Nothobranchius furzeri: one gene and its partners. The protein of the gene in region 1 purifies or fractionates together with the protein of each later gene. This does not show direct contact. Links are inferred from orthologs where the notes say so. Each region holds a gene or a part of one and is shown in the gene's direction. Other genes may lie near its edges. The genes, in order: ddx21, dkc1, rsl1d1, c1qbp, larp7 and eftud2.

Evidence for each region.
Region 2: the proteins of ddx21 (region 1) and dkc1 purify together in Homo sapiens (co-immunoprecipitation; 3 studies listed by BioGRID and IntAct, with this or other methods). This does not show direct contact. The link is inferred for Nothobranchius furzeri from reciprocal best matches to the Homo sapiens genes DDX21 and DKC1.
Region 3: the proteins of ddx21 (region 1) and rsl1d1 purify together in Homo sapiens (affinity purification with mass spectrometry; 3 studies listed by BioGRID and IntAct, with this or other methods). This does not show direct contact. The link is inferred for Nothobranchius furzeri from reciprocal best matches to the Homo sapiens genes DDX21 and RSL1D1.
Region 4: the proteins of ddx21 (region 1) and c1qbp purify together in Homo sapiens (co-immunoprecipitation; 3 studies listed by BioGRID and IntAct, with this or other methods). This does not show direct contact. The link is inferred for Nothobranchius furzeri from reciprocal best matches to the Homo sapiens genes DDX21 and C1QBP.
Region 5: the proteins of ddx21 (region 1) and larp7 purify together in Homo sapiens (affinity purification with mass spectrometry; 5 studies listed by BioGRID and IntAct, with this or other methods). This does not show direct contact. The link is inferred for Nothobranchius furzeri from reciprocal best matches to the Homo sapiens genes DDX21 and LARP7.
Region 6: the proteins of ddx21 (region 1) and eftud2 purify together in Homo sapiens (affinity purification with mass spectrometry; 3 studies listed by BioGRID and IntAct, with this or other methods). This does not show direct contact. The link is inferred for Nothobranchius furzeri from reciprocal best matches to the Homo sapiens genes DDX21 and EFTUD2.

What each region holds. Positions count from the first base shown.
Region 1 is NC_091749.1:53,561,671-53,565,664, reverse strand, and holds part of ddx21 (nucleolar RNA helicase 2), read left to right. Parts: intron 1-3,147; coding exon 3,148-3,282; intron 3,283-3,994.
Region 2 is NC_091758.1:16,262,792-16,268,071, reverse strand, and holds the start of dkc1 (H/ACA ribonucleoprotein complex subunit DKC1), read left to right. Parts: upstream 1-1,637; 5' UTR 1,638-1,716; coding exon 1,717-1,732; intron 1,733-2,649; coding exon 2,650-2,699; intron 2,700-2,778; coding exon 2,779-2,865; intron 2,866-4,426; exon of another isoform or gene 4,427-4,658; intron 4,659-5,280. Other genes in the region: cinp (cyclin-dependent kinase 2-interacting protein), read right to left, coding at 980-1,007.
Region 3 is NC_091756.1:27,387,117-27,392,422, reverse strand, and holds the start of rsl1d1 (ribosomal L1 domain-containing protein 1), read left to right. Parts: upstream 1-2,069; 5' UTR 2,070-2,085; coding exon 2,086-2,157; intron 2,158-2,392; coding exon 2,393-2,535; intron 2,536-2,620; coding exon 2,621-2,759; intron 2,760-2,883; coding exon 2,884-3,032; intron 3,033-3,114; coding exon 3,115-3,216; intron 3,217-3,331; exon of another isoform or gene 3,332-3,457; intron 3,458-3,531; coding exon 3,532-3,625; intron 3,626-5,306. Other genes in the region: gspt1 (eukaryotic peptide chain release factor GTP-binding subunit ERF3A), read left to right, coding at 123-291, 666-718. UniProt on the Homo sapiens protein: Regulates cellular senescence through inhibition of PTEN translation. Acts as a pro-apoptotic regulator in response to DNA damage.
Region 4 is NC_091750.1:66,120,449-66,125,683, reverse strand, and holds c1qbp (complement component 1 Q subcomponent-binding protein, mitochondrial), read left to right. Parts: upstream 1-2,126; 5' UTR 2,127-2,280; coding exon 2,281-2,521; intron 2,522-2,777; coding exon 2,778-2,928; intron 2,929-2,999; coding exon 3,000-3,096; intron 3,097-3,198; coding exon 3,199-3,294; intron 3,295-3,383; coding exon 3,384-3,509; intron 3,510-3,580; coding exon 3,581-3,730; 3' UTR 3,731-4,110; downstream 4,111-5,235.
Region 5 is NC_091742.1:73,340,901-73,346,370, forward strand, and holds the start of larp7 (la-related protein 7), read left to right. Parts: upstream 1-2,004; 5' UTR 2,005-2,151; intron 2,152-4,621; exon of another isoform or gene 4,622-4,642; 5' UTR 4,643-4,647; coding exon 4,648-4,843; intron 4,844-4,919; coding exon 4,920-5,020; intron 5,021-5,095; coding exon 5,096-5,179; intron 5,180-5,470. Other genes in the region: NACHT, LRR and PYD domains-containing protein 3, read left to right, coding at 576-659, 785-868, 1,063-1,140, 1,237-1,555. UniProt on the Homo sapiens protein: RNA-binding protein that specifically binds distinct small nuclear RNA (snRNAs) and regulates their processing and function.
Region 6 is NC_091745.1:13,635,876-13,640,660, reverse strand, and holds part of eftud2 (116 kDa U5 small nuclear ribonucleoprotein component), read left to right. Parts: intron 1-1,449; coding exon 1,450-1,574; intron 1,575-1,653; coding exon 1,654-1,717; intron 1,718-1,794; coding exon 1,795-1,885; intron 1,886-1,968; coding exon 1,969-2,104; intron 2,105-4,785. UniProt on the Homo sapiens protein: Required for pre-mRNA splicing as component of the spliceosome, including pre-catalytic, catalytic and post-catalytic spliceosomal complexes. Component of the U5 snRNP and the U4/U6-U5 tri-snRNP complex, a building block of the spliceosome.

The sequences.
Region 1 (3,994 bases):
AAGAAATTGCTCCTTTCTTTCGAGGCTCCGCTGTGATGCCAACAAAAAAGCAAAAATCATCTTTTTCTTAAGCTTTTAATTAATGGTCAGCAAACTAAAAAAGCTAATTGCTAGCCAAACACGAAGATCTCACAGACTAAACTAATCCATCCCTGCACAATAGATTGCTACACTAACTACAGAGGATATACAGAATTTGAATTTGTTCTTTCTGAGCATAGGGGAAGTCTATTTCAGTGTTTCCCTTACATAGGCGTAGTCGTGGTGGCCCGCCACGGCTGAAAGATCCCGTTTTATTGATTTTTATTTTATTTTTTTGCACTGTTTCCCGAAGAAGCAGCGGGAACTACTCTGTTGTTGCTTGTGATCACAGCCAGCAGGCAGCAAGGAGGAGGAGGCAGGGCAGGGTGGTTACAGCTCGGGATGAGCCGCGGATAAAGCATTTTTGACGAATACGAGCATGAAACGATTAAAAATCGTGAATATCTGTAATCGTTCTGAATAAAAATCCTCATTGGGTAACTGACTGCCTTCACGCTCTGTGATTGGCCAGTCACATGGAGTGCCCACCCCTCCCTACACACACAACTGATCCGCCCCACGCACACACACACAGACAGTAACCAATCTCTGTTCTTGCTTCACTGTTGCTCACGTTTCTTCAGTACTCCCCAGGTTTTCTTCAGCTCGCCTCTTTTTCGGTTGAATATTTAAAGTTACCTTTGTCGTAACGGATATGGTGCATTTGACAAGACGGAGCCGAAAATGGCATGCGTTGGTCACTGCCTCCACTCCGGTCGGGTTTTAAAAATTATCCCCCCCCCCCCCCCCCCATTGGAAAAATGCCAACAACATTAGGAAAAAATAAGTTAACTCAAATTAAAAGAATATAAAAAGCTGTGTCTGGTTCTAGTATTTCATATTTCCTGGTTCCTACTGCATGAGTTCAGATGTATTAATTCATGCACTTAAATATTAATGTTCTGATTTAATTGAAAAACTTGCTCTGTAATAGTTCCTTTACTATTGTGATCAAATATATTGTTAGGTTTTAACTTATGCTTTACCCCTTACTTTAAGAAGCTAAGAGGACAGAGAAAAGATGAGAACAGATGAGAAAGAAACCTGGGTATAAAAATATTTTCCTTATTTAATTAAAACATACATTATTTTTGTTACACAGATTACACTTGATCTTGGGGCTGGAGGTTCTAACAAATACCACTAGACACAGCCCAACAGAAAACTCCTGAGTAAAAAAAAAGGTACTAAAGAAAAATCACAGCTTTTAATTAAAAGCTGGAAAACAGACTATAATCAACATATCTCAGGTAGCTTTTCAAATGAAATATTTACTTAGGCTGGTACGGGTTTCTAAGAGCTTCTATATGCAAAAAGGCTCCCCGAAGTTTTCTGTCCAGGCAAAGATACCAGTATGAAGCGATTGGCACTAAATACTAGGAACCACTCACTCAGGCTTAAGTAGAATACCATGCAGAGGCTTTCCTCTAAACACACGCACGTAATCACAACCGTATTCTACAAAGTCAGGGTGTCCAGAACGGAGCAGAAATGGAGACTACTCATGGGTTAGGAGTAGCTCCTCGGGCGTGTATCCAGCGTTCCTTTTATCCCCTCATGCCCAATGATGTCATCGGAGAGAACGTCCGCAGCGAGGGAATCCCGGCACGAATATCGATTTCAGATTTAAAATAATGTATTGATGTAAACCACACCCACTAATTTCCAAATAATAAGAGGTGCATTCATCTGTGTATCTCCTTTGATCCGCATTAGTGATATTTTCAGCACCAGAACAATGAAGCAAAGAAACAGATTCCTGAGTTTGTTAGTAATTTTATTTATTAGGTGCATCTGACCTGTTCTATTTTTCTCTGAAATGAGATCAAATCAGTGCTTCTATGGGTTGTCTCCTCTCTGCACTAGAAAACTTTACTTTATTATAATGTTCACTGTAATGCATCTTGATGTTCTTAACAAATAAATTAAATCAAAGATATTGGTCATTAATGCCAAATATATAAATTAGTGTTTCAGTCATTTTTATACTGGCTTAAAAATACTTCATTAAGTCTACTAAGCAGGGGTGTAGAACTTTTTTAATAGGGCCAGCCCAGTAATGATCTTGGACCAAAATAAAGGGGGCAGAAAGTCAAATAAAGGGGGGCAGAAGATGTTTTTCCAGACGCCAAGAAAAATTAACCCCTCCTTCCCCCCCCCCAAGTGTCACTGAGAGTTTAAAACAAAAATTCCTCTTGTGCAAATATTGGTGTATTCACCATTAATACTAGTTATTAAAATGCAGCAGTTGCTGGATTGGTGCAGTTCAAAGTGGAGTGCGTCTAATAAAACAATATTAACTTAAAGGTCAGACGTGTCACACACACACACACACACACACACACACACACACACACACACACACCACAGCTGGAAAAATTCCTAGGGGAAACACTGTATTTTATTAATATTTTCCTTTTAAGCTGCTTTAAAATTTCACCTGTGTAAAACTTTGCTTGTTTTCTTTTCTATAACTTATTCTCAAAGAAGCTGTATTCAAAACAAGCACAGGAATTACGAATTTATTTTTTGATGCCTGTTTTTATTGAGTTCAGATTTCCACCAATGCTTGAAGATTTTAGTTAAAAATAAACCAATTTTTTATTAATCCAAAACATTTATTTATTACATGTTCAGCTTATGAAAATTAATCTTTAAAAAAAAAACCTTCTGATATCTTCAAATCTCACTTAAAGTTACCAGTGAACATTAAAGATGGACAAAAATAGTGATTTGTTTTACATCGTGATTTACATCAAGTTCAGCTTTTTTTCTTAAGTTTTGTCTTTTGTCAACACATTCAAACTCCACCAGGTTAGGTTGGTACATTATTGCACATTCATCCTCAAATGACTCTAGAGTCTAGTAGCTTATATCTGATTTTGTAATGTTTAGTTTTTTAAAGACCACCCAGATGGGCTCTAGGCATTACAGCTACATCACTTTATTTACCCAGATTCCCCCACATAGCAGAGCCAACCAAGGATGGTCTGTTTTAAGATTCATTGTTCCTTTAGGATTGTAAATATTTGTTTTTCTTTCCAAATGCTTTGCTTGTTTTTGCAGGGTTTCACCACTATGCAGCTGGTGTGCTCTCAGGAGATGCATAATATCGGTTATGCCTGGAGAACCATGAAAGAACAGCTAGGAGAAGAGATTGAAAACCACATTCACAGAATGACCTTCCTCAAAGACAGAACTGTAAGCATTCATGTATTTTTCTTGAATAATGTGGGTAGAATCTGGATGGTGCATTTCCTTTTTCATTGTATAGATTTATGGCTTGATAAGATGAAATACCGTAAATCCTCTAATACAGGCCCGGGCCTGTATTTGACTCAAGCTCATCAAGCTCCAGGCCTTTATTGGAAGGAGGGCCAGTATTAGAGGCAGGCCTCTATTTCTATTTGAGCAAAATGAACGAATGGTTCGCTAGAGTTTTTGACAATTAAAATTGCGCCCACATTTTCAAAGTTAAACACATTTCTTTTTAACAACGGTAGTTTCTGCTTCAGCCATCTCCCCCCTCCCCCAGCTTCAGCCCTCTCCCCCCTCCCCCTGTGCAGCAGCCGCAAACTCACTGATGCGCCTGCAGCCTCTCGGAGTTCCTGCTGCTCTAAACATTAAAATAATTATTTCATTTTCTGTTCCTCACTTCTGATTACCTTCAATGGTGTCTGTTTGTTGCAACAGCAGGTACAAAAACTAACTTGTTTTTATTTGACTATTTTTCTGTCCTGCCTGTTTATTATCTTCCTGCATCTCCTCTCAATCCTAAAGAAAAACTGCTGCCTGGGTTCATATATATTCACCTTATGAGTTACCTTTGAACTGCAGTTCTAAAAGATCTACCGACCGCAAAAACAGCGGAGCGCTCACTGTTTGGCGGCCGTATCAGTGATCAGTGCGTCGG
Region 2 (5,280 bases), on another chromosome or scaffold:
TCCCCCTTAAAGAGACATTTGTCCTTTTGGTTTAACTTCACTTCACATCAGCCATCATCTGACCCGTTTGAGGAGTCATGCTGCAGCTGGTTGGGCCAAACTGAACCTGGACCACAGAAACATTAGCTGTCAGATGAGCTCACAAAGGTCAGGGGTATTAAAGGCCACGGCTCATAGACCGTCTCCAGGCAGCTTCATGGTCCTGGGACCTCAGCTGACAATTTTAATAAAGTAGGAGGTTGATGGGAATGTGGGCAACCACTAAGAACGTGGATCCGAGATGAGATCCACTCTCAGGTTGATCAGAAGGAAGAATCAGACAAACAATGCATCCAGGACTGTTGAAGCCTTTCTGATCCCACCATGAGGGGTTGAAGACCCAGGAGGATTCCTGGTGACAGAAAAACCCAAAAGAACAGACTAGAGATCACCAAAAACCACACTGACGAGCTTCAGGGAGAGCATCATTTTGATTGATGAGATGGAAATCGGCTCTAGAAACACTGTAGAAGATGGAGGAAGATCAGTTCTGTTCTGGACTCACTGCACCTGGACCAAGGATTCCTGAAAAGGTTCAGGGTCCAATCCCAGGACCACCAAGACCCTCTGGAGCCAAATCTACTGTCCAGAGTCTATCATCAGAAAACACAGCTAGGAACACCGAGAATGGATCAGAACCAAGCACTGGACTGTTCTGAACTGATCTAGATGCTGTTGAACATCTGTGATAAGAGCAGAAACATCTGGAGAAAGAACACCTGGAGCAGTGTGGCCACGAGTAATGGGACAGAATACCTGCGGACAGGAACGATCTAAATAAGTTGTCCTAGTGAATGTTGATGAGGCAGCTGGGTTCTGCAGGGTTTCATTTACAACCCTGCAGTAAAACATCCACACGTCATCAGAATGTTTTAACCCGGAAGCTGCAGGTTATTCAGACCTGAACAAAAACTACTTCACTAATCAAGAAGATCCTCACCTTCCATCTGATCCTGAAGTTCTCGCATAAAATCCAGCTGAATTATGCTGAGTCTTCTTCTTCTTCGACGTTTGTGGGTGGTAGCAGTGCAGCATTACTGCCCCCACCTGGCCTGGAGTGGACACACGTTTATCAAACAATAAAAAAGGAAGTATTTTTATTGGATCTGCAGCTGTGGACACTCAAATTCCACTACGCGGAGATAGTGGGATTTTGGGGTTAACTGTAAACACTGATCCGTCCCGTCTGCCGTCCGGGTGGACACTGAGGTATTTATGTTCCTCCGCCACCTCCACCTTCTCTCCCAGGATGGAACAAGCATTTAGCATGTTCCCGTTTCTTCTAAAATCCGCAGTCATCTCATGTTTTTTCCGTTTTTTAACACACTATTGCACTAGAGGCCCACCAGTGATCTGTGTCTCACTACTTAATGACAGACTTATCTGACTCCAAATATCACTGGCCTTTTTTAGTGTTTATTTCCCCCCAGGATGCTAGTTAATTAAAGAAGAGCATTAGAACCACCGAAAGAAAAGTCAGAATTATTTTTCACATTTATTTTTTTCCATTTTATATTTAATTATGTAAAAATTGTATTTAAATAGCAAATTCATTTATTTATTTACCTCATTTGGTTTCATTTCTGCTCTGTGACCAGTTGGTGGCGGTAGTGCACCAAGTACTTTCGTGCCAGCCGCCATAAAACATCAAGCAGAAGAAGAATCTTTCATTAGAAGATGGCGGACGAAGCTGGTGAGTGTCGAGCACGTTTTGTAAGCGACAGTCTGTGTTTAATTTATTGCTAAGTTTGAACATAATTCTGCTGAGTCAGGGATTTTATTAACAACACGTCCACGTGCACGTACAAGCGTGTTTTACGCAGAAGGAATCGCAGTAAAAAAAATTCCTAAGTTGGTCTATGAGGAGGTTTGGCAGCGTCTGAGCCAGTTAAAACAAACAAATCCCTCCACGTGTCCAACATGCTTTAGTAGTTGGGTTTAATTCAATAACAGAACTAAGGGTTTGCTCTGTGGACTCGTGTTTTCTTCATAAGCTCCAGCAGCGTTTAGTGTAGTTAACTTTGAGAGAGCGGGTTCTCGGTCAGTGGCCTGTTAGCTCCGCTAGCAGCCACGTGCGCTCCACCACGTGCTGCAGCTGCAGGCCACGTGGGCTCTATATCATTCATTTACAGTTTTCCAAATTTACCAAACTGCAACAGGGATTTAAATTTCTGTTCCTTCAGATAAAATACTTTCTTTCGGTCGTACTTTTTCCACTGAAAGGCCCTTTTGGGCTCAGAGTTGCACTGGAGCAGGGCCCATCTCCAGGGCCACCATGCTGCACGTGCTGCAGGTTTGCTGCTCCTGCACACATGAAGGTAATCGCCTGGATAAACCTGTTGAACACTCTTTTAAAAAGCAGGTGTAGTATGGTCCCTGGAGTTAGTGACCTTTAACCTGAGGTTACCTGGGACCAGTAACCTGTTATAATGCAATGTTCAGTTCCCGGTGGGCATGAAGACTCGTCTAGAATATTGGTGAACACTTGAGCAGTCTGGCTAGTGACAAAACACCACTTAGGGCCCGGTAGATTGTTGTTCTCTGAGAAAATCCTGGAATTCTGATTTTAGGAAGGATTTATGCTACTTTAGTTTGGTTTTTATTTTGCAGCATCCACAAAGAAGAAGAAGAAGTCGAAGAGAGTGGCTGAAGATGTTGGGGTTGGTGTGAATTTATTCAACTTAAGATCTATTTGGAGATTCTCTTCCTGTTGAACAAACTGATGTTTTTATTCAACAGGAGATCCAAGAGAGTCAAGAGTTTTTAATCCAGCCAGACACCAAAGTCCCCACTTTGGACTCCTCCCAGTGGCCCTTGTTATTAAAGGTCAGGAACCCCTCCTCCTGTTTGTGCCTGCTGACATGTTTGACCCTGGTCATGTGATATGATGAACTGGTTTATCCATTCTCTGAGTGCTGTGGGCCTGTTGTGGTCTTTGCTTCTGCTCCGTTCTGGATCAGAGCTTCTCCTGCGGCTGCTAGAGGGGTCTCGGCGTTCTGCCTGACCACGACCAGTAGCCGTCTGGGGAATGACCCCACTTGACCACAGCCAAGACGACCTCCTATTCTGATCACATTGACTCTGTGCTATAAAGCATTTGTTATCTGCTCTGTTTAGTGACATGTTTGTGGTTTCATCTGGTGTAATGAGTTGACTCGACTAGAACCCTGTTGGAATCGGCTCTAGCTGTCAGACAAGCGTTTCCCCTGGGAATTTTTCCGGTGGTGGTGCTGGGGGGAGAATGATTGACAAGTCTCACCTTTATGTTAATATTAAAAACCCTTCTACACCCCTGCTTAGTAGACTTAATGAAGTATTTTTAAGCCAGTATAAAAATGACTGAAACAAAAATTTACATATTTGGCATTATTGACCCATATCTTTGATTTAATTTGTGTTAAGAACATCAAGATGCATTACAGTGAACATTATAATAAAGTAAATTTTTCTAGTGCAGAGAGGAGACAACCCATAGAAGCACTGATTTGATCTCATTTCAGAGAAAAATAGAACAGGTTAGATGCACCTAATAAATAAAATTACTAACAAACTCAGGAATCTGTTTCTTTGCTTCATTGTTCTGGTGCTGAAAATATCACTAATGCGGATCAAAGGAGATACACAGATGAATGCACCTCTTATTTATTATTTGTAAATTAGTGGGTGTGGTTTACATCAATGCATTATTTTAAATCTGAAATTGGATTGATCAGAAGTTGATATGTGTATTGTTTATCTGAAAACTATTTACAGAGCAGCCTCAGAACTGAGATTAAATATTTTTGATCACAATAGTAAAGAAACCATTACAGAACAAGTTTTTCAGTAAAATCAGAACATTAATGTTTAAGTGCATGAATAAATGCATCTGAACTCATGCAGTAGGAACTAGGAAATATGAAATACTAGAATTTATTTTAATTTGATTAAACTGATTTTTTCCTCACATTGTTGGCATTTTTCCCACACACGGTTAAACAAAACTATGTTGACTGAGGTGTGTGTGTGTGAGTGAGAGAGTTAAAATAAATACATTAAAAAAAAAACCTGAGCGGAGGCAGTGACCGACGCATGCACAAGCCGTTTTCAGCTCTGTCTTGTCTAGAGCTGAAACAACTAATCGATTATAATCGATTATTAAAATAGTTAACAACCTTTTTAGTCATCGATTAGTTGTTTAATAATCATATTTTACCGCATAAAGTCTATTTTTTACCACAATCTGACATCGGTTACAAGCTGTTAAATTTGCCGCCAGTGTGTGGCAGTAATGAGCCACTGATCTACCAGTGGAGCCGTAGAAGAAGAAATGAGCCAATGAGTGCCCTCGGTTTTCATGACGTATCACGTTACTGACGCTCATCTTGCTGTGAGAGATGGCGGAACAAGAGGAAATACGGAAGAAAATAGAAGCGACAAAACTTTAGAGAAACCCCGGACAAAAACCTCACGAGTATGGGAGCACTTCAGTCTAGATGCCTTGAAAAGGCAAAATATGCAAAAACCATCTAGCATGGCACGGAAGCACGACGTCCCTAAGTGAACATTTGAGACGAAAACGTGGGGGCTGAGGAAGAGCACCGCGGTCAAGTGAGCCGTCATTTGGAAGAGCCAGCCCGGTAAGTAACAGAAAATAAACAAGCTGGACTTAGTGTTTTAGCTGAGTTCGTTATAGTGGATGTTAAACATGTTTTTTTGTCGCGTCAGTCTACGGTGTTCTACTTCTGATTGACTAGATGCAATCGTGAATCTCCTCCGTGTTGTGAATCATGCGCTTGCCAAATTCAGCACGTCTGTTTATAAGAATGTTCTAGTTAAGAGAAAAACGGCACAAACCCATAACTATGTTCCTCATTCAAAAAAGGACAACTCTGCGGTGAAAAATATACAGACGAGCTGTGTCCAGGTGAATATAACGCGGCATAGTTGTACGCTTTCAATTTTTAAATACAGGAGAAATTCAGAAAAAGTCATTTTTTTACTATTAAAAGGCTGTTTTACTGTCTAACGCTGTAAAACGCCTCACAACACATTTTTATCATGTTTCTTAAACAGTATTACACAAAATAAACATTTTTCACATTTTTCTAGCTAATTTAAACACTCCCGACTCAAAGTAAAAACCTCATGAGCTTCTTACTTAGAGCTTTTTAATAGTAAAAAAATTAGACTTTTTTTCTTAATATCTCCTGTTGCGGCCTATTTTGTAGAACGTAACCCTCAAAATAAATGATCACTGTA
Region 3 (5,306 bases), on another chromosome or scaffold:
GCTAAAAACACCAACGCACGTCTTCTGGGTGGCGCTAACACACCGTTGTAGTTCCTGCGCGGTGCATGTTTTTGCCTCCTGACTCGCCTGAACTGATGAGAGTCTGGATTTTCCACCCTCAGGCATTAATCTGTCTGGTTGACAAGAAGACGGGCGATAAGAGCAAAACACGACCTCGCTTTGTGAAGCAGGATCAGGTGTGTATCGCCAGGCTCCGGGCAGCAGGAGTCATCTGCTTGGAGACCTTCAAAGACTTCCCTCAGATGGGACGGTTCACGCTGAGAGACGAAGGTGAGCAAACGCCCGCTCGTCTTCATCGGGGCGGTTCTGAGGTTCAGCTCTGGATTATCAGTCGGTGAAAACATGACAGGACTCGTATAGTCCTATAAGAAATGATGGCAGCTGAAAATGTCTGCCAACTTCAAACCGTTTGTTGTGTGAAATCTCAATAAAATGAAGTTTCTACATGGATTAGAAACTAAAGTTAATCTAGATTTTGTTTATGCAAACTGAAACCGTAAGCCTTTAGTTGTCATTCTTTGCTGTTTTTATTTACTTTTGTGTCCCATAGTATTTATATTTGCTGCATCTTTGTGGGTGGAAATTAAATGTATTTACAAACCTCTACATCCTGTATAAACACGAGCTTTAACTCTAATCTCCAGGCAAAACCATCGCCATCGGCAAAGTGCTGAAGCTGGTTCCAGAAAAGGACTAAATGCACCTGCGTGCATGGAGCTCCTTCACTCGTTACCTGAGGAGAAACGCTGCCCGAGCTGACCCAAACAGCTCCTCTCTCTCTACACACAACTCTGCTGAAGAGAAGATCGCCAACAAGGAGGAAGGAAGCAGAGTCAAATCATATCAAATGAAGAAAACAAGACTGAAATCAGTTTATATGATGAGCAACATGAAACGAGTCCATGTCCAGCGCGTCAGCTTTCTCATATTGAGAGCTCGGCTATGCCACTAATGTAGCTACACGCCCCTCTTGATTACTCCCAGGGCCAGCTGTGCTGTCGGCTGGACACGCTATTTGTTCTTTAGGTCTGTGGATGCGGCGTTGCTGAGTTTGAAGAGCAAGAGCTGAAAACGCTCAGTGATTTCTACATCATGCAAACATTGGAGTTGGCTTGTAATTATAATTAAAAGTGCATCTCCCTTCTTTAGAGTGGACTTGGGAGTCCGGTGGATATTTGATTTTAAAGATTGCTGTATCAGAATTTTAGTTTGGGTTATTTGGACTGAGCTCACACAGTACTACTCTGATAATCCAAGGACAAACGCTCTCAGAAAACAGGCTGTTACATAATCTCAACTGAAAATAAATGATCAAGCTGACAGAGCAGTGTACTTGTTTTATTATGTTTTACTCTCGACATGTTTGATCTGCTTGTTTAAACAATGAATTTAACGCAAATCTACTTTAATAGACTGAATACTTCAAAGTTTTCCCAGTCCACTATGTTATCAGGACCAAGTTAGGAGGAGGTGTGCACATTTGTAAGTGAAGATCTTCATTAAAGAGTTTAACACGTGCATCAGTGTTGACATAAGCTTTATTAATGTTGGATCTAAGGGTTTCTTCAGGTCACCTCAGAGATTACACACATTGCTCTGAATGGGGAATCCTGGACTTAAGTTAGGAAAATCTGAATTCCTCCCTGAGTGGTTAATATTTACAGGTAAGCACAACCACGCAGGCAGCACTCAGTCAGACTGTTTTACTATTAATTTTTATATCTTGTAAGGCCAGACAGTTAAATTAAAAATAGTTTGTTACACTGTTTACTTCTCTGAGCTGGAGACAGTTGTCATAATAAACACATCTAAGCTAGTATAAACAGGTTTTCTTGCTAGATTTATGTCTGCATAAAAACTAATGCAAAGATATTTTTGGGTTTCAAATTTCTTCCTTATAGTTTCACTTATTCTGATCACATTTTGTTTTTGAAACGTGTTAACAGAAAAATGCGCACGTGAAATAGTATTTTAGCCTCAAATTCTCATTTTTGTCAGTTTTTGACATACGAATAAAGTTTTTCAATTTGTATTCGTCACGTGGCCCACGAGTCTGTATTGCGCATGCGCGTTGTCTTCGCACGTGAAGCGGACGGCATGGCGGAAAAGTCAGAAGTAAAACTAGACCGGGCGCAGGTAAAAGTCTCTAAAGTGTCGTTTATCCTCTCACAGTTGTATCAAGTGTTGTTTGAAGTATCAGAAACTGCGTTTGTGAGCTTGTAGCTATTTCCGGTAGATGTAGCGAACACAAGTTAGCTTGTTTGGGCGTTGTTAAGTCAGGCTCGAGACACGCTAGCTTCATTCTGGACCTCGTGGATGTCCTGGGACTTTAAGCAGGAGTTCCTAAGTTTACGTTTATTTACATTTGCAGGTGAAAAAGGCCGTCCAAGCCTTGCAGGCGTTTCTCAAAACTAAAGCAGCCGCTTCAGACTCGCTGTTCTCGGAGGAGACCCAGCCGATCAGCCTGCTCTTCACCCTGTGGAAGATCCCTAAGAAGAAGCAATGCATCCAGATGTGAGTCCCGCAGTCCGGGACTGGGGAGTTGCTCTATTACTGAACTGTGTTTGCCATCATTTTAAGTGTGTGTTCCGTTCTTCAGTCCTTTGCCCCATGGCCATCAGTCTGACACGGAGGAAGTTTGCCTCTTCACTAAGGATGAGCCCCGAATGACCTCAGATCAGACCCAGAGGTTTTATAAGAAGCTGCTGCAGGAGAAAGGTGTCAAGAACATATCAGAGGTAATCTGACCATGCTACCATAATTTAACTCTACCACAATGTCCAGTGATGTCAGCAGTGTAACAGTTTGGTCATTAAACAAAGTCAAAGTTTCCAATGTACTGATTATTTGTTGTTTTGGTAGATTATACCGTACAGGGTTCTGAAGACAGAATATAAACCCTATGAAGCCAAGCGTCGCCTGCTGGGAAACTTCAGCATCTTCCTCGCCGATGCCCGTGTCCGTCGGCTTCTGCCGTCCCATCTCGGAAAGCATTTCTATGAAAGGAAAAGGTACGAACTATCCCAGCTGTTTAAGTGAGCGTGTTGAGAGAAGGGAGTTCCAAGTATTGCCGCCATGTTATTGTCTTTGCAGAGCACCTCTATCTGTGAACTTGCAGAGTAACCATCTGGCCCGAGACATCCAGAACATCATCCAGGGCACCACCCTGACGGTCACCAACAAAGGCTGCTGCTGGTGAGATCAGTCCCAGGATGTTTCCATCCCTGTTGCAGCAGATTGAAAACACCTGTTTTATTTGAATGGGGGGGTGTAACAGACTGGGATGAAAGTTTAATGTTGTGAATCAACCGCACCTCTGTACAACCCTGTTGATGGTTTCTGTTTGACGTGGGTTATTTTGGTGCCAGAGAGACTCAATGTAAATCCAGATGGTCCTCCCTCTGATGGAGCCTGTCTCTACAACTTTGATACATAATAAGCGTAACGGTTGTGTTAAAACCTGTCGTTCTGCTGCCACGCGTTTCACCATCCAACTTGGTCATTTTCCAGCATGGCACGCGTCGCTCAGTCGGACATGACAGCAGATGAGGTGACAGAAAACATTGAAGCGGCGGTCCAAGCCATCGTGGCCAAACTCGAGATGGTGGGTGTGATACAGTTGAGAGTTTGATCTTTGATAGTCTGTTTGCTGTCTGTTTTACTCGTCAGATTGGTTATTCAGCACAACTTTTAAACTTGTTTTTCCACCAATTAAGAATGACCAAATGCACGATAAGTGTGAAGCATTTTACTTATTTGCTGCTGGTGTCTTTGTTGTTATTTAGACAACATCTGTCAACAAAAACAACTAATTTAGACCACCAGGGTTTGGTGTTCAGACTGGTACCAGAATCAGTCAGAGCCAGTTCTTATCAGTCAGTATATATCACAATATAAAACAAATCACTGTTTTTGGGCCTCTTTGATGCTCTCCGGTGCTTTAAAGTGAGATTTGAATATATTAGAAGATAATTTTTCACTTAAAGATTTATTTTCTAAAGCTGAACATGTCGAGCCTTATTGAACTGTTTTGGATTGACAAAAGTTGTTTTAAACTGAAATCTTCTCTCATTAGAGAACAGAACAAAAATGAACAAAAATGTTCTGCTGGTTTAAAATAAAAATAAAAACAGACATTCAATTCTCAATGTCTGATTGTTTTAAATGTAGTTTATTTAAGAAGCAATAAAATACAGCGAAAAACGAACAAAACAAAGTTTCATATCAGTGAAAACCTTCAGCAGGTTGCCGTCAAGCCCAGACAATTCCAAAAAAGGGAAGAGGTGGGGCTGTAAGGCTGGGATCAAGTGACGACACCCGGTTGAACTAGCTTCAAGCTAACCAGAAGCTAACCCAAAGCTAATGCGAATGTTGGAGCTAAGCTAACGTAGGTAGCAACCTAGCTACAACCGGAGTTAACTGTGCACAACACCAGAGCTTCTGAGTCAGAGATACGCCGGGCTGACCGCTGTGTAAAACCGGGTGGAAAACATCCGTCTACCGAGAGCTCCACAAGCCGATAGTTAGAACCCAGCTCCACCAACATGTTATATTTCAACCCATTTTCTAAAGTGCAGCTTTATGTTAAATGCACTGGGTTTTACCCTATTACATTTAAATTTCATGGTTAAACAGTACTTATTAAAATCTAAGCTCAGCTCGGCAGTGATCTAAAATACAAAAATATAATTTTACTTACCGAAAAAATGAAGTGGAGACTCCTTGGACGCTCTATTAGCGCAATTAATGCCACAGCAAGTTGTTTTGTCCAACAATTGCACAAATAATATCCAATAAAGAATACACAAACACAGAGACTCAAAATCCCGGAGCAGTTTCCAAGCCAGACCGAGGCTCTACTGAGGCCTTTCCACGAGCTAGCTCTGCGGTCACGTGGGTCTGATGCTCATTAATTATACAGAATTTTAGGCTTTTAATACACTTAAACAGTGAGAATAAAATTCACCCCCCTCAGAGTTGTCATGAGTGTAAACTAGATAATTTAAACCAAAAACATGTTTTGGTACCAGGCTGTAAACATGTTTATTTCTGCTGTGAAATTGGTATTTTTAACATGGGAGTCAGTGAGGATTTGCTCGCTTCTGACACCAGCCCCCAGTGGATGAGGGTGGAACTGCAATTTCTGGTACTTCCGGGTTGGGCCCAATTTTAGAGCCGCATTGTGGGGGCTTGGGTACAACACGTCCACACAAGTGAACAGTTTTTGTCAACCTTATTATCAGCGATGTCTGCCGCTCTGCTTAACTTTCCTTTTCAGGGCGCTC
Region 4 (5,235 bases), on another chromosome or scaffold:
TCTGACAGACGCACTCCGAACTTCAGATCTTCAGCGTGCTGTTAATAGCCTGACACGTTTAGAATGCTGTCCCACAGTCAGTGTGCTAATATAATAATATAATAATGCTAAAATGCTCAGATGGGAATCATTTCGTGATTTATTCAGTTACATCCACAATGTTCTGTGTGTGAGGTTTACAATGTCAGAACACCTGCATGAGACAGGGTGTAAATTACAGTCTGCCAGAATGACTCACCACCTTCAGATTTCTCCAACACCGATAAAAATGATCAAATACGAAACATATCTTGCTATTAACAGCGTGTGCAGGCCAGAGCGCTGAAGCTCGGAGCGCATTATTATGAAGCTAGGTCACATGCGGAGGACACACACACACAAAATATACTTGTTTTCAGTTGCATTTATTGGGCCCACTTACTTTTTCTTAGGCCCACCCACAAATGAGTTTCTGGCTACGCTAATGGTGACATATGACAGACTTCTCTGAGCTCCGCAGCCATTACACTTTTCACCTCGCACACCCCCTAGCGGCAGCTCGCGCACCACACCACACTTAGGGAATCCCTGCTCTAGAAGGTCACATCATGTTGATGAAGGGATCCTCTTTTCTTTTTTACTCTGCACTCAGGATTGTACAACATATACTCTAATTTCAACATGTTGTCACATAAATAGTTTATATCTTTGAAGAGGCACCACGTGCGTTTCAGTTTCCTGCTTAGAACCAAAAATGTTTGCATTTATAATTGATGGAATCTCTCTGAGATCCACTTGCATTTTACTTGTTTGTAAGTCAAATGAAAACCTACTTTACCTACCTGCATGTAGTTTGTAGAATAAAGGCAAACATTAAATGAGCTTAATTAGAGTAGAACAGGTTTTCATATAAACTATTATAATTTCTAATAAAAGTATTCCAACTGTTGAAGTAAACCAGTTAATGAAAGAAATGTTTCAACAAGGTGATTATCATTTTTGTTTGTTTACGACGTGTTTCTATAATGCCTGAAAGCTTTGTTTCCAGATAGAAACTTTAAAGTTTTGTCACAGACTCGTGACATAAAGTCCACCCTCTTACATTTTTAGATTTTAATGCATCATAACAAAGCTGAAAAGGCCAGATATTTACCAGGTATTAAAAGCAAAACGAAAAGTTTTGTGTGGAAAAGGAAGTATCAGCCAGCTGGTAATCAAACCTGAGTTTACTGGTATGGAGAATACAGGCGTGTGTAAACACAGTGTCTCAGTACAGGGGTCAAGAGGTCGCTAACAGCTTAGTTCCAATTTGAACACAACCTCTAAATTGAGGTCAGCCCAATTGCCATCAACAGCAGCTCAGATATTAATTGTTCACAACACCTCCACAGACCTCCGCTTGAAAAAAGGTGAACTGTCCCTTTAAAGAAGATGGTTATCGTAGTTCCATTGTCCATACAAACATCTTTATAAAGTTCTTTGCACAAAATTCTTCTGACATGAAGTGATTTCAGCTTTTTTATTTCGACAGTGAGTTGTTTCAAGCCTCACTTTAAGAAAACATCCATCCTACTCAGGCTAATATAACCTGAGGTGCCCTCATATTCAGGGGGGTTTCAGGTAGAGTTGCTGCTGCTCCATGGGGGTTTCAGGTAGAGTTGCTGCTGCTCCATTGGTAGTACATCTCCCTTGCACCTGGGAGTCAGCGCAACCTCCCCGCTCTCACAGTCAGCGAACGGGGAGAAACAGCCTTGCAGCTGCCCTGGGCAAGGCTGAAGTTCACAGGCGTCACTCTGACCACCCCCAGCAGGTAATGTGACACGGACACAACATGACCGACACCAGCTGAGCGGGGTTTGAACCTGTAACCTTCCAATTATGAGGCAGACACTTAAGTCCTCTTCCACCTTGCCCCAATTCCCTGTTTGTGTCATCACAAACTGGGACTTTTTTTAGGCTTGTTAAACCAAAATGCATATGTCCATTTAAAATCTTCCGCTTGGGCACAAAGGGCAGTATTCAAATAAGGAATTGATGATTAGTTAATATATTTTAGATGTGTTTTTTTTTATCATTTGTACATTATGTGCTTCATTTGACTGATGTAATATGTCACCATCGCTTTAAAAAACATTGCTTCCGGTTCAGAGGTCGCAGTGACGCGAGGTCGCTGTGTCCTTCCCCACGTGCTTCCTGTATCTTCCAGAAGAAGCAGCCGTAACCTGCGTGGCTAAGGGGGCTTTCAGGGGCGTTAGATTAAATTATTTTGTTCTCACACAGCGTTTTAATAAGCACACCGCTATGCTGAAGTCGTTTGTCCGCGTAGCGGGAGCCGCTGCTCGCTTGTCCTCAGTCTCGCGGGCCTTACCAATCAACTGCCCGACTCTGTGCGCTCCCAGCTCGGCTACAATTCGGCCGTTCACCCGCTCCCTGTGGATGCTGAATAATAACGGAGCGTCATCAGGCTACAGACCCAAACTGTTCAGCTCAAAGGTGTTGGGTCCTTCTGTGTCGTGTGGATGTGAAGGACTGCACACAGAAGGTAAGGTCACGTTTTAAAGTAACGTCTTAATCAGCTAGCTTGTTAGCCTCAAGCTAGGAGATTTACAACGTAATTAAACATGAAGTTCTAGGTTTTAAATACACATGTAAACACTCAAGTACACACACTTGTCTTACTTAAGCGAGTTAAGTGAACTTTATACGCAGCATTTCATATTTAGTCTTTCTGAAAGGAGTTTTAAAGGTGTTGATGCTAATTCAGACAGATCTATCATTTTTGCCCTCACTTTATTCAGGCGATAAAGCATTTGGTGACTTCCTGTCTGATGAGATCAAAGAAGAGAAGGTAATCCAGAAAAACAAAAGTCTACCTAAAATGACTGGAGGATGGGAGGTGGGGATGAATGGAACAGAGGTGAAACTCACAAAGCATGCTTCTGGAGACAAGTAAGGATGCTACGATTTGTTCTGAGAGGAAGTGGTGCTCAGTGTGGGCTCACGGTGTGGTCTGATTTCAGAATCACCGTCACGTTCAATGTCAACAACAGCATTCCTCCTAACTTTGAGGAGGAGGCAGTGGAGCAGGGGCAGTCACAGAAATCGGCAGAGGAGGAAGTAAGCCCATCATCAATCTATGACCTGATTGGTCGTGGAAAGAAAAAATGATTTTAACACTTTATAATTCTATAATTGTATCATTTTTGTCCTTCTTTGTAGCCAGAGATTGTGTCAACACCCAACTTTGTTGTTGAAGTGACAAAACAAGCTGCTAAACATTCCCTTGTGTTTGACTGTCATTTTCCTGAAGATGAGGTAAAACAAACATACACAAGCACATGCTAAATAGTGAGGAGCCGGTTCTGTCTCAGTTAAATGAAACCTGCTGGATTTGTGTGTTGTAGGTAAGTAATGCCGAGGGGGAGGAGGAGAGCGACATCTTTGCAATCCGGGAGGTCAGTTTCCAACCAGAGGGGGATGTGGACTGGAAGGAGACCAGTTACACACTCAACACAGACTCCCTGGACTGGGTAAGAGCTGAGACTGGTTCAGAAAGTTAATGAGGCTGCAGGACGCTACTCTCATAGTCCGTTTATTCCAGGCGCTTTATGACCACCTGATGGATTTCTTGGCTGACCGCGGGGTTGACAACACCTTCGCCGATGAGCTGATGGAGCTGAGCACCGCCATTGAGCATCAAGAGTACATCAAGTTCCTGGAGGATCTCCAGGGCTTTGTGAAATGTAATTAATGTCAAATGTAATAGTTTCTACCTAATAAAGATGGAGGCTGTAGGGTAAAGTGCTCAGTGACTGATTAGATGGTCGCCAGCAGCTGCCACACTACTCTTAGTCAGTAAAGGTTTAAGTTTTTCTGTAAAGTGTGGCTGTAACTTGAGAGAGAACCTACTGCCAGTTACAGAAGTCTGGGTTTTACTGCCTGGCTCATCCGTAAAAGTCAGGATTTCTGAAAACGCCAACTAACCTGTTTTTCTTTCCGTTTTTAATTGTTTATTTATGACGGATCTGAGCAACTGAGTTTTTGCTGACTGATGCGGTTTTGTCGAATGAGTGAGGTGATGTTTGTTGGAGAGATGGAAAGTTTGTCCAATAAAACCGTTTGATACCAGAATTCAAATGTAATTTTTCTGTGGCCACCGGTACCATTTAGAGTTACAGTTACCTTTTAGCACAGGGGTGTCCAATCCACTATCCAGCATGTTTTCCTGCTTCAACACAACTGATTCAACAGCTGATAGCAGGTTCTGCAGATGCCTGTTAATCAGCTATTGACTAATCTGAGGTGTGTAGATGCACAGAAACCTCTCAAACAAGGAACATTATTGGAAGCCACTGTTCTAGCAAAACACAGCTGCTAGCAGAGGTATATTCATGGATCCAGTCGCACCACCCGGAGGTGTGAGTGGGGTCGGGAGTGTTTCACAAGCTATTTTTTTTGCAGGAACTTTTCTGCAGCTGTTTCGGTTTTCTTCTGGCCTCTTATCTGTTGCATCTCTAGGCAGGTAGCTGCGGGACATTTGTCAGTTTCCTGAGTGTCGGGTTTGGACAGTTGGACCTTTCTGGTAATCTTGACAGCTGAAGGAATCCTGTTTCTCTTTGTTTTTAGCCTTATGGTCCTGCTCAAGTGGCTTCAGAATTAATCTTCACCCCTGTTCAAGCATTCATATATGCACAATAGTTTTATGAATTTAGGAGAGAATTGATTGCAGCTGTAATCAGCTCTGGGTAGTGACTGAAAGAATGATCGCATATACAAGTGGACAAAATGAGTTTTCTTCTCAGGGTGTCTGAGCTCTCCCTTACAGATAGCTCTTGGTTTTATATCCATCTGCAAACTATCTAAAAGTTGTGTTTTTGTGAATTAATTTGGGTTTTATGCTCTTCATTACTTACATACTCTAATTATGTCTGAACTTTAATTGTGCTTGTACACTTTTCCTTATCCTAATTTTTTAATTCTTATGATTTTAATGCATGTGACTTTTTTATGACTAAAAGAGAAGAAAGACAGTTTAACCTGACCCACCTCGCTTTAACCCGGTGCTCAGCCACCTTAACAAAACACCTGGATAAGCCCCTGGCAGTTCCTCCCAGGTTAGTGTCTCTAGACATTTTTAATGACTTATTTGTGTTGACAGCAAATTAAATTAAATGAAAACGCTTTTCATCTCTGGAGCCTGTGTACACATTAAGTTTTATATATTTCCCAGGTATCAAAGTCGTATTTTTGGTTTAT
Region 5 (5,470 bases), on another chromosome or scaffold:
TTAGACACGCGATTTGATCAAGAAACACCAGAGCGCTCGGTAGGAACCGGAGCGGAACGATGTTACCGTATAAGAATGAAAGAAGGCCGGTTGATAAAAAGTTCATAGGAGATCAGCAAGGATATGAGCTCTGAGTTCGATTCCAGAAACAATGACTGAGCGGTAAGCTGACGAGGTTGGCCTCCTTATTTAGACTCGCCTGGGTGATGATGGGTGTGACGCGGTATGCATAGCAACCACTTTCCCTCTGGGATTAATAAATTAATTTTGAATTGAATTGAATTGAAAACTGTGTGTCCCGACAGTACCTCCGACAAAGGTCATGAATACTAACTGTGACTGTGACATAGAAGAGACTGCTGATTTGATCAGTTTTCCTTCTCTTTTAGCTAGCTAATGCAGGTAATGGGAGTTGAATACAATTTACACGTTTAGCATGCATGTGAAACTCAGAGAGACTGGTCATATTTCAAGTGTTACACAGTTTCCCAGTGACGCCTTTAATTAAACAAAACGAAACCACAGCACTGTATGTTCAGTTGCTTTTCCACTGACAAAACTACTATATTCTAAAGGCTTGGAGATAACAACTTGGACATGGATGCCATCCAGGTTATTGCCGATACTCTGAGAGTGTCAGACAATATCACTCACCTTGGGTAAGATCTCGATAAAATATCTGAACACGTTTCAGTTTCAAAATAAACCCAAAGCTTGAAGATTTCCTAAACAGAATGACAGACTAAAATATGTCCCAATGTGTTACTTTCTTTTCCTCATTTAGACTTGGATGGTCAAACATCGCTGATGAGGAACTGGAGGCTCTTTCCAATGCCATACGAGTGAAAAGAAGGCTTCAAGAGCTGTGGTAAGAACCTTCTGAGGGTGACGTGGCATTTCAAATGAACTCTTTAGGGAAGTGAGTCAAATGACAGAATTAGAAATCGGTTTAAGCTTTGGTAATTTTGTAACATTCTTTTTTCCGGTTTGATGAATTTCCACACCTCTTGATTGATGTAAACACTAAGTGGGGGATTTTCTAAACACGCTCTTCTCTCACAGGATGGAGGGGAACCGAGTCAGCTACAAAGGCCTGTTTTCACTCAGTGACTTGACTCCATTTCCACTGAAAAATATTGTGTAAGCTAATGGCTTTGTTTTAAATCAATTTAAATTCTAAATATTTGAACACTTTGTTATTGTAAAAAAATGCATTTAATTTTCATCTTCTTACAGAGCCATATGGAATGACTTGTATGACCCAGAGCCAGAGTCCCTGTGCAGCCAAGAGAGTATTGCTGTGAATTTTACAGATGACGAAATGTGGGACGAGTGGGGGAAATGGGTCCTTCAGCGCTGTGAGGTCAGCAGCAATGAAAAGTTGGTCACGGTACTGCGTAACGTTTGCAACACATCAATAGATTGCGTAGAGGATCAGCGGGCAAAGACTTTCTACAATCAGTTATCGCAACTCATCAAGAAAAGGATTGAGTGCTGCACTGAGGATGATTTGTGCAAGAAACTAAAAAAGTTTGAAAGTATTTTGAACATATGAAAATGTGTAGGAAATATATGAAATATGAAAAATAACAAATGTATGTAGTTTTGTTAATGTCAAATATCGCTTTTTGTGTAACTTCTTATGACTCTACACATACATTAGAATAAAATGGGAAGTATTAAATAAATGAATGAATGAAATAATTAATATGAAGGATGAAACAATGCAGCACAATAAAGAATGGCCCGTACGGAGATTGCAACCGCAATCTTGGCGCTATTAGCACCACACTCTAACCAACTGAACTAACCGGCCACGGTTTACGTCGTGAAATCGTTATGTATTGATCTTAGCTCATATTTCGTATTCTGCTGTCCGCTATATGATGCACATTATTTTGTTTATATTTTTAAAAAAATCGACTGGATAGAGTTCACGCAAATTATCAACAGAATCACTGAAACCGAAATGAATGATTGGTTTACCTTTATTTTGAAAAGACTTGCCGGATGTAGAAAAACGCTCATGACGACTTCAGGCTGCGACGGCTCTGAGCAGTCATTAGTGTGATGTTATGCAGCAAGCTGCGATTTAATAACATTTTTACGAATTTAAAAGCCAACTGGTCTTTTTATATTTTCTTAAATTGGGTAAGTTTTCATTCTAGTTTTTCCTCTGGGTGATAAAGATCGGTTTTCCAGGTTTGGAGGTACTAACACCAGCGCAGCGTTTTTGAAACCAACCCGCGAATTCCCCTGTACTAACGTCGAATGTTGTTAACAAATGTTAGCCTTACGGACCGCGGAAACAGTCAGAAAATGTGTTATTTTCCTTCTAAATAATATATGTTTAGTGCCATTCTGGTTTTAAGTATATTATGCTTCACAATTCAAACAAACACGTCATAAAACGACAAAATACACTCACTGGCCACTTTATTAGTTACAACTGTCCAACTGCTCCTTAAGGAAAATTACTAATCAGCCAATCACATGGTGGCAACTTAATGCATGTGGGCATGTAGAGATCACGAAGACGATCCCCTGAGTTCAAACCGAGCATCAGAACCGGGAAGAAAGGTGATTGAAGTGATTTTGAACGTGGCATGGTTGTTGGTGTCCGATGGGCTGGTCTGATTATTACAGAAACAGCTGATCTTCTGGGATTGTCACACACAACCATCTCTAGAGTTTACAGAGAATGGTCCAGAAAAGGGAAAACATCCAGGGAGCAGCAGTTCTGTGGTTGTTGATGCCAGAGGTCAGAGGAGAATGTCCAGACTGGTTCGAGCTGATAGAAAGGCAACAGTAACTCAAATAACCACTCGTTACAACCGAGTTATGCAGAAGATGCGAACCTTGAGGCAGACGGGCCACAGCAGCAGAAGACCCCTCCACGGGTACCTCTCATGTCAGCGAAGAACTGGAAACTGAGGCTACAACTCACACAGGCTCACCAAAATTGGACTAAAGAAGATTGGAAAAATGTTGCCTGGCCTGAAGTGTCTCGACTTCTGCTGTAACATCCATCCTGCCTTGTATCAACAGTTAATGCTGGTGGTGGTGGTGGTGTAATGGTGTGGGGAACATTTTCTTGGCACACGTTGGGCCCCTTTGTACTAACTGATCATGTTGCAAAGCCACAGCCTACCTGAGTATTGTTGCTGACCATGTCCATCCCTTTATGACCACAGTGCACCCATCTTCTCATGGCTACTTCCACAGGATAATGCACCATGTCACAAAGCTCCACTCATCTCAGACTGGTTCCTTGAACATGACAATCAGTTCACTGTACTCAAATGGCCTCCACAGTCACAAGATCTCAATCCAGTAGAGCACTTTTGGGATGTGGTGGAACCTCTGAGGAATGTTTCCTGTACCTTGTTGAAGACTTAAGGCAGTTCTGAAGGCAAAGGGGTTCAACCCGGTGCTAGCAAGGTGCACCCAGTAAAGTAGCCAGTGAGTGTATATATCTGGTGTAGTTCCTTAAATGGTGCTTAAATTCCGGACGCATTTTAAATAGGGTAAAAGTATAAATAATGCAAATAAATGACAAACTTTTTAATGGTAAGTTAATTAGATGAAGGTTTTGTTTGATTTTTAAAGGTTTTGTGCACCTGTGAACCGACGGCAAGTGGCAAAGAAATCAAGTACATTTCTTTTACAAAACATTCATGTTTTTTTGGGTAGTTTATTAATTCTGGCTGGATCAAAATGATTTTGATGGCTTCATCTAGTCTCTACACTAGATTTAAATACTAAACAGATCTGGTGGCTTAAATCTGTTCTTATCGTCTTTTAAAATGTGATCTCTGCATATTTTAGGCTTTATATATATTTAGACAAACATCAGTTACACAACTTAGCATCCAGACAGCATATTGGTGAATAAACTGTATGTTTCTGGTGTTCAATATACAGTTATAAACTCTGAGAGTGGTAAATATTGTATGATCTGCCAAATGTAGTCAGGGCATGTCAATTGAAGTCTGTTTTTTAGGAAAAGGGTCAAACTACTTATAGTCCAAATGTTGGCCCAAAAAGAGAGTGACACCTTTGTTTGTTTTCAGATTTGTGTATTTTTGGTCTCTTAACCTTATTTAGTCGTTTAACTGTACTGTTTTTACTCTGAGGCGTTGTTGTTATATTACGTATTATAACTACCTTCTCAGGGTTTCTATGGAAATAAGTGCTTTATGCTTTTTTTGTGCTACCCTGTATATTTATTGTTTTTATGTCATATTGTGAAACTTACTTGTATTATTTTATTCTATAATTATGTTATCTATACAAATAAAAAATCAATCTATCAACATAAAGATCATAATAAACAATCCAATGATCTACGCATCCCTAACTCACTCATTGTCACAAGGCTCTACCCTAGAGTTTCTAGTACAGTTTGACTGTAAAAAGTCTTGACTCTCATTGTTTGTGTTCATGTAAACAGCTCTAGACATGTGCGTGCTGCTTGTGTGTTAGCAGCTTGTATTATCAGTAGGAGACCGTCGTTCATTCTGTCGCTTTGTGATTAAATTAGGTCTCGTTCCTCCCAAAAACTCCCGTAAACAGACAAGTCCACAGTCGTCTACTCTTTCTGAATGTGTCTGTGTTAAAGAGCTCCGCTGTCACCCCACAGCCAGGATGCTGAACACAGAGAAAGAAGCAGCTGATGCAGTAACATCTATGGAGAAGAACAAGGAGATGGAAAGAAAAAAAAGGTCTCGAGTTAAACAGCTGCTCAGCGACATAAAGAAGCAAGTGGAGTTTTGGTTTGGAGACGTCAACCTGTACAAGGACCGCTTTCTGAAAAAGCTCATCGATGAGTCCGACAAAGGATGTGAGTGTCTGAAAGTGCTAGTTCTAAATCTCAGATTGACTCGATCAGAGCTTGACGTGTTTTCCACTTCTTGTAGATGTTGATATTTCTGTTTTGACGAGCTTCAGTCGGATGAAGAAACTGACAACTGACACTAAACTGATTGCCAGAGCACTGAGAAACTCATCTGTAGTGGAGGTGATGACTTTTTTTATTCTCGTTACTCGTGACTGTCACTGTTTAAATGACATTCTAAACGCTTTTGTGTTTTAGCTCAACCTCGAAGGAACTAAAGTCAGACGTCAACATCCACTCGGAGACCCACCGAAAAACGTCGACGACCGCACAGTTTACGTGGTAACAACAAACGAAACTCTGCTTTAGTTGCTAATTTTTACATTGGGTCATTTCAGATGATGATATGTTTTTCTATTTATAAATCCCATTAAAAAAGATCAAAGAGTCCATAAAACCCAGCATTTTTGGTGAATGTTCAGTCATCCGGGTCGTGGTAACCCAAAATGGTTCAAATGAAGGCAACTGGACTTCTTTGGTTTTTTGAAGACGTTTCGCTTCTCATCCAAGGAACTTTGTCAATTCTGACTGGAATACGGGAGAGTCAAGTTTATACGCTGTAGCTATCTGTTG
Region 6 (4,785 bases), on another chromosome or scaffold:
TTGGACTGAGGGGGCAATCGCGAGCATAAAAATTCAAAAGTCCGTAAAGTCCCTTTAAGCTCTGATTTGCAAATAGAAATGCACTGATGCTGACACCAGCATAGATATCGGCCCGATACCACAGCTTAATTGTCGCTGCTGCGGCTGTTCCCCTATTTACCAGAATTCCCCCCACTGGATTTATAACATTATGTGATAAATGACATTCACTCTATACAGGAGCACATTTCCGCTGCACGTGAAAAGTGTTGCAAAACAACTGTGAAATGTACAATGCACAGTTAGCCGCTGCTTAAAGTGGATGAGTTCCAACGGCAGCAAAACGTGATGTTTTGGACACGCCCCAGAAGCAAGGGGACGCTGTCATCACGTTTGAAGACTACTTTTTACACGCCACACTTCCAAAACACGTCAAATTCTGCAGTTTAGATCACACCAGTCAGAAAGTCAAACACAAAAGCAGTGTAGAACATCCAGAAACTTTCAAAATAAAAGTCACACGCAGGTAAACGTACATCCTTTCCGGTTGTAACCCCCGTAGCCGATGTAAACAGAACAGAACATAAACAACAGACCTTTTTGATACATGCAGGTGTTGTTCTCCATCCATCCATCCATTGTCTGAACCCACTTGTCCACGTAGGGTCCCCGGGGGGGGGGCTCTGGTGCCTATCTCCAGCGGTCAACGGGCAATCAGGCGGGGTACACCCTGGACAGAGAGCCAGTCCATCACAGGGCAACATAGAGACACACACACACACACCTAAGGACAATTTAGACAGACCAATCAACCTGACAGTCATGTTTTTGGACTGTGGGAGGAAGCCGGAGTACCCGGAGAGAACCCACGCATGCACAGGGAGAACATGCAAACTCCATGCAGAAAGATCCCAGGCCGGGAAGCGAACCCAGGACCTTCTTGCTACAAGGCAACAGCTCTAAACACTGCGCCACTGCGCAGCCCAGTGTCATTCTCCTTGCTTGTTATTGTGTGTGGACTTTTGAAATCACGTGTAGTGTCGCAATTCTCCTGTGATTTTGTGACATCCTGGGGTCGACAGCGTGGAAAGCTCTCACTCCCTTTTTGCATCAGAAACAGTCCTGATTGGGAATGAACTCGCGGGTAAACCGCTGCTGTTACGTTACGCGACCGCTTTCACGGCTGGTGGAAAGAAGAGGTGAGACTGATTCTGGCTAAGGAGCCTTCAGATCTTGGATTCCTGTCGTTTTCTGTTAAGATTGTATTTTCTATAAGACATTGGTACACTAAATGTGGCTCACAGTGGGTAGTTCCATAAAAGCAAACAAAAAGGAGCATTTTTTTTTCAACAATTTCAAATGATTTGAAGTGGCAATTAGAAAGTACTCGTACTCTGTTTTAAATATCTGGTATTGGTGCATACTGATCTGCAGATCTAACATAAAAAGAGACTTTGTCTTCCTTTTCAGCACGTATTCCACGGATGAGAACTTGGTGGTGTCTCCTCTCCTTGGAAACGTGTGCTTTGCCAGCTCTCAGTACAGCATCTGTTTCACGCTGGGGTCGTTTGCAAAGATCTACTCGGACACCTACGGTGAGAGGCTCATCCTTAAGCAGCTGTAACTACAGTGTAGTTCTCTCAGGACTAATTCACTCCTGACTCTGGTCCGTAGGGGACATCAACTACAACGAGTTTGCCAAGCGGCTCTGGGGAGACATTTACTTCAACCCCAAAACGTGAGTCTCAGTGTCCGCACACGTGGAGCTGATCTTTGTTCACATAACTCAGGAATTCCTTTCTGCTTATTGTTTAGTCGCAAGTTCACAAAGAAAGCTCCCAGCAGCAACTCTCAGCGCAGCTTTGTGGAGTTTGTCCTGGAGCCTCTTTACAAGATCCTCTCACAGGTTAAACATGCCTTCCTCAGTGCTCCGTTCGTCCATCAGACTCAGGTCCAGCTTGCCCGGTGTGTAACTGTCCTTGTGTCCAGGTGGTCGGAGACGTGGACACCTCTCTCCCTCGAGTTCTGGATGAGCTTGGGATCCACCTGACCAAAGAGGAGCTGAAACTGAACATCAGGCCTCTGCTTCGGCTGGTCTGTAACCGATTCTTCGGAGAGTTCACCGGTATGACTGGATTTGAACCGCCTTCGTTTGTCTAGAAATAAGTTTTTCTTCTATGGGAAAAGTCTGGAGTGATGGCCAAAGTGCAAAAATACAAGCTTGTTGTATATAAAGTAGGGTTGTCACGGTAACCGGTGTAGCGGTAAACCCCGGTAAAAAAGTTGACAATAATAATAACCGTCTTGTTTTTAACAAAATATTATCTCGGTGGGTTACCGTGGTTGCGGTGTAGGCGCCATGACCCTTACCAGCCACCGTATCATCTGCTGAAGTTGCCGGCGGCACATGCGCGCTTTGTTGTTTACAACCAAAACTTTCTTGAAGCTAAAGCTGAAATAATGGCCAGAGGAGGAGACGGCAGCACTCAGGACATTTATTATCCCTCAAAGAAGACAAAGTGGGTATCATGGACATGTTTTGGATATATGAAGAATGCCGAGGGACAGTTGATAGAAGACGGCTATCCTGTTTGCAGCACGTGCAGAAAAAGTGTCTGTGAAAGGCAGCAACGCTTCAAATCTCATGACCATCACCCACAACTCTACAGTCAACGCAAGGCAAGCTAACGTTAGCGTTTTAGCTAAAACGCGTGATCCGAGGATTTGGGTTGAGGGAGAATGCAACGAGTTGCTATATAAAGCAGCCGCAGCACCGCTACCTGCATATACAGGTGCTGGCCAGTAAATTAGAATATCATCAAAAGGTTGAAAATATTTCAGTAATTCCATTCAAAACGTGAAACTTGTACATTATATTCATGCAATGCACACAGACCAATGTATTTCCGATGTTTATTACGTTTAATTTTGATATTTATAGGTGACAACCAATGAAAACATCAAATCTGGTATCTCAGAAAATTAGAATATTCTAAAGGCCAATGAAAAAATGTTTGTTTCTCTAATGTTGGCCAACTGAAAAGAATGAACATGAAAAGAATGTGCATGTATAGCACTCAATACTTAGTCGGGGCTCCTTTTGCCTCAATAACTGCAGTAATGCGGCGTGGCATGGACTCGATCAGTCTGTGGCACTGCTCAGGTGTTATGAGAGCCCAGGTTGCTCTGATAGTCGTCTTCAGCTCCTCTGCATTGTTGGGTCTAGCGTATTGCATCCTCCGCTTCACAATACCCCATAGATTTTCTATGGGGTTAAGGTCAGGCGAGTTTGCTGGCCAATCAAGGACAGGGATACCATGGTCCTTGAACCAGGTGCTGGTGGTTTTGGCACTGTGTGCAGGTGCCAAGTCCTGTTGAAAGGTGAAGTCTGCATCCCCATAAAGTTGGTCAGCAGCAGGAAGCATGAAGTGCTCTAAAACTTCCTGGTAGACGGCTGCATTGACCCTGGACCTCAGGAAACAGAGTGGGCCAACACCGGCAGATGACATGGCACCCCACACCATCACTGACGGTGGAAACTTTACACTGGACCTCATGCAACGTGGATTCTGTGCTTTTCCGCTCTTCCTCCAGACTCTGGGTCCTTGATTTCCAAAGGAAATGCAGAACTTGCTTTCATCAGAAAACATAACTTTGGACCACTCAGCATCAGTCCAGTCCTTTTTGTCCTTGGCCCAGGCGAGACGCTTCTTGCGCTGTTTCTTGTTCAAGAGTGGCTTGACACACGGAATGCGACACCTGAATCCCATGTCTTTCATGAGTCTCCTCGTGGTGGTTCTTGAAGCGCTGACTCCAGCTGCAGTCCACTCTTTGTGGATCTCCCCCACATTTTTGAATGGGTTTGTCGTCACAATTCTCTGCAGGGTGCGGTTATCCCTAGAGCTTGTACACTTTTTTTCTACCACATTTTTTCCGTCCCTTCGCCTGTCTGTTAATGTGCTTGGACACAGAGCTCTGCGAACAGCCAGCTTCTTTAGCAATCACCTTTTGTGTCTTGCCCTCCTTGTGCAAGGTGTCAATGATTGTCTTTTGGACAGCTGTTAAGTCAGAAGTCTTCCCCATGATTGTGGTGCCTTCAAAACAAGACTGAGGGACCTTTTAAAGGCCTTTGCAGGTGTTTTGAGTAAATCAGCTGATTAGAGTGGCAGCAGGTGTCTTCTATATTCAGCCTTTTCAGAATATTCTAATTTTTTGAGATACCAAATTTGGAGTTTTCATTAGTTGTCACTTATGAATATCAAATTTAAATGTAATGAACATTGGAAATACATTGGTCTGTGTGCATTGCATGAATATAATGTACAAGTTTCACGTTTTGAATGGAATTACTGAAATATTTTCAACCTTTTGATGATATTCTAATTTACTGGCCAGCACCTGTAAACCGTGTCGCGGACACCCCCATGTTGAAATGACGCTATGCATTACGGGGCTCCCAGGGGCAGATAAGAGTTGGTCTCTCTCCGAGAATAATTATGAATTTAACAATGATTACTGCCTGATGACATTTTCCCACATCTGCAAAGCTCACTGGAAGGACACAAACCGAGGACGATATTTTCCTGATATAGGGTTTATTACTCAAGTAAGGGTAAACAAGTATCTGATTAGAAGGCTACTTGAGTACTGAGTATCATCTGGTCTAATATTTTTAAAATGATGACATCAAACAGACAAAAAATAAGAAGTTATGGGCAAATATTGGTATTTTAAAGACTAAAGGGAAAAATGTAAACAAATAAACAACATAATTACAAAATAACACATTTTAGGCAAAATTTAGAC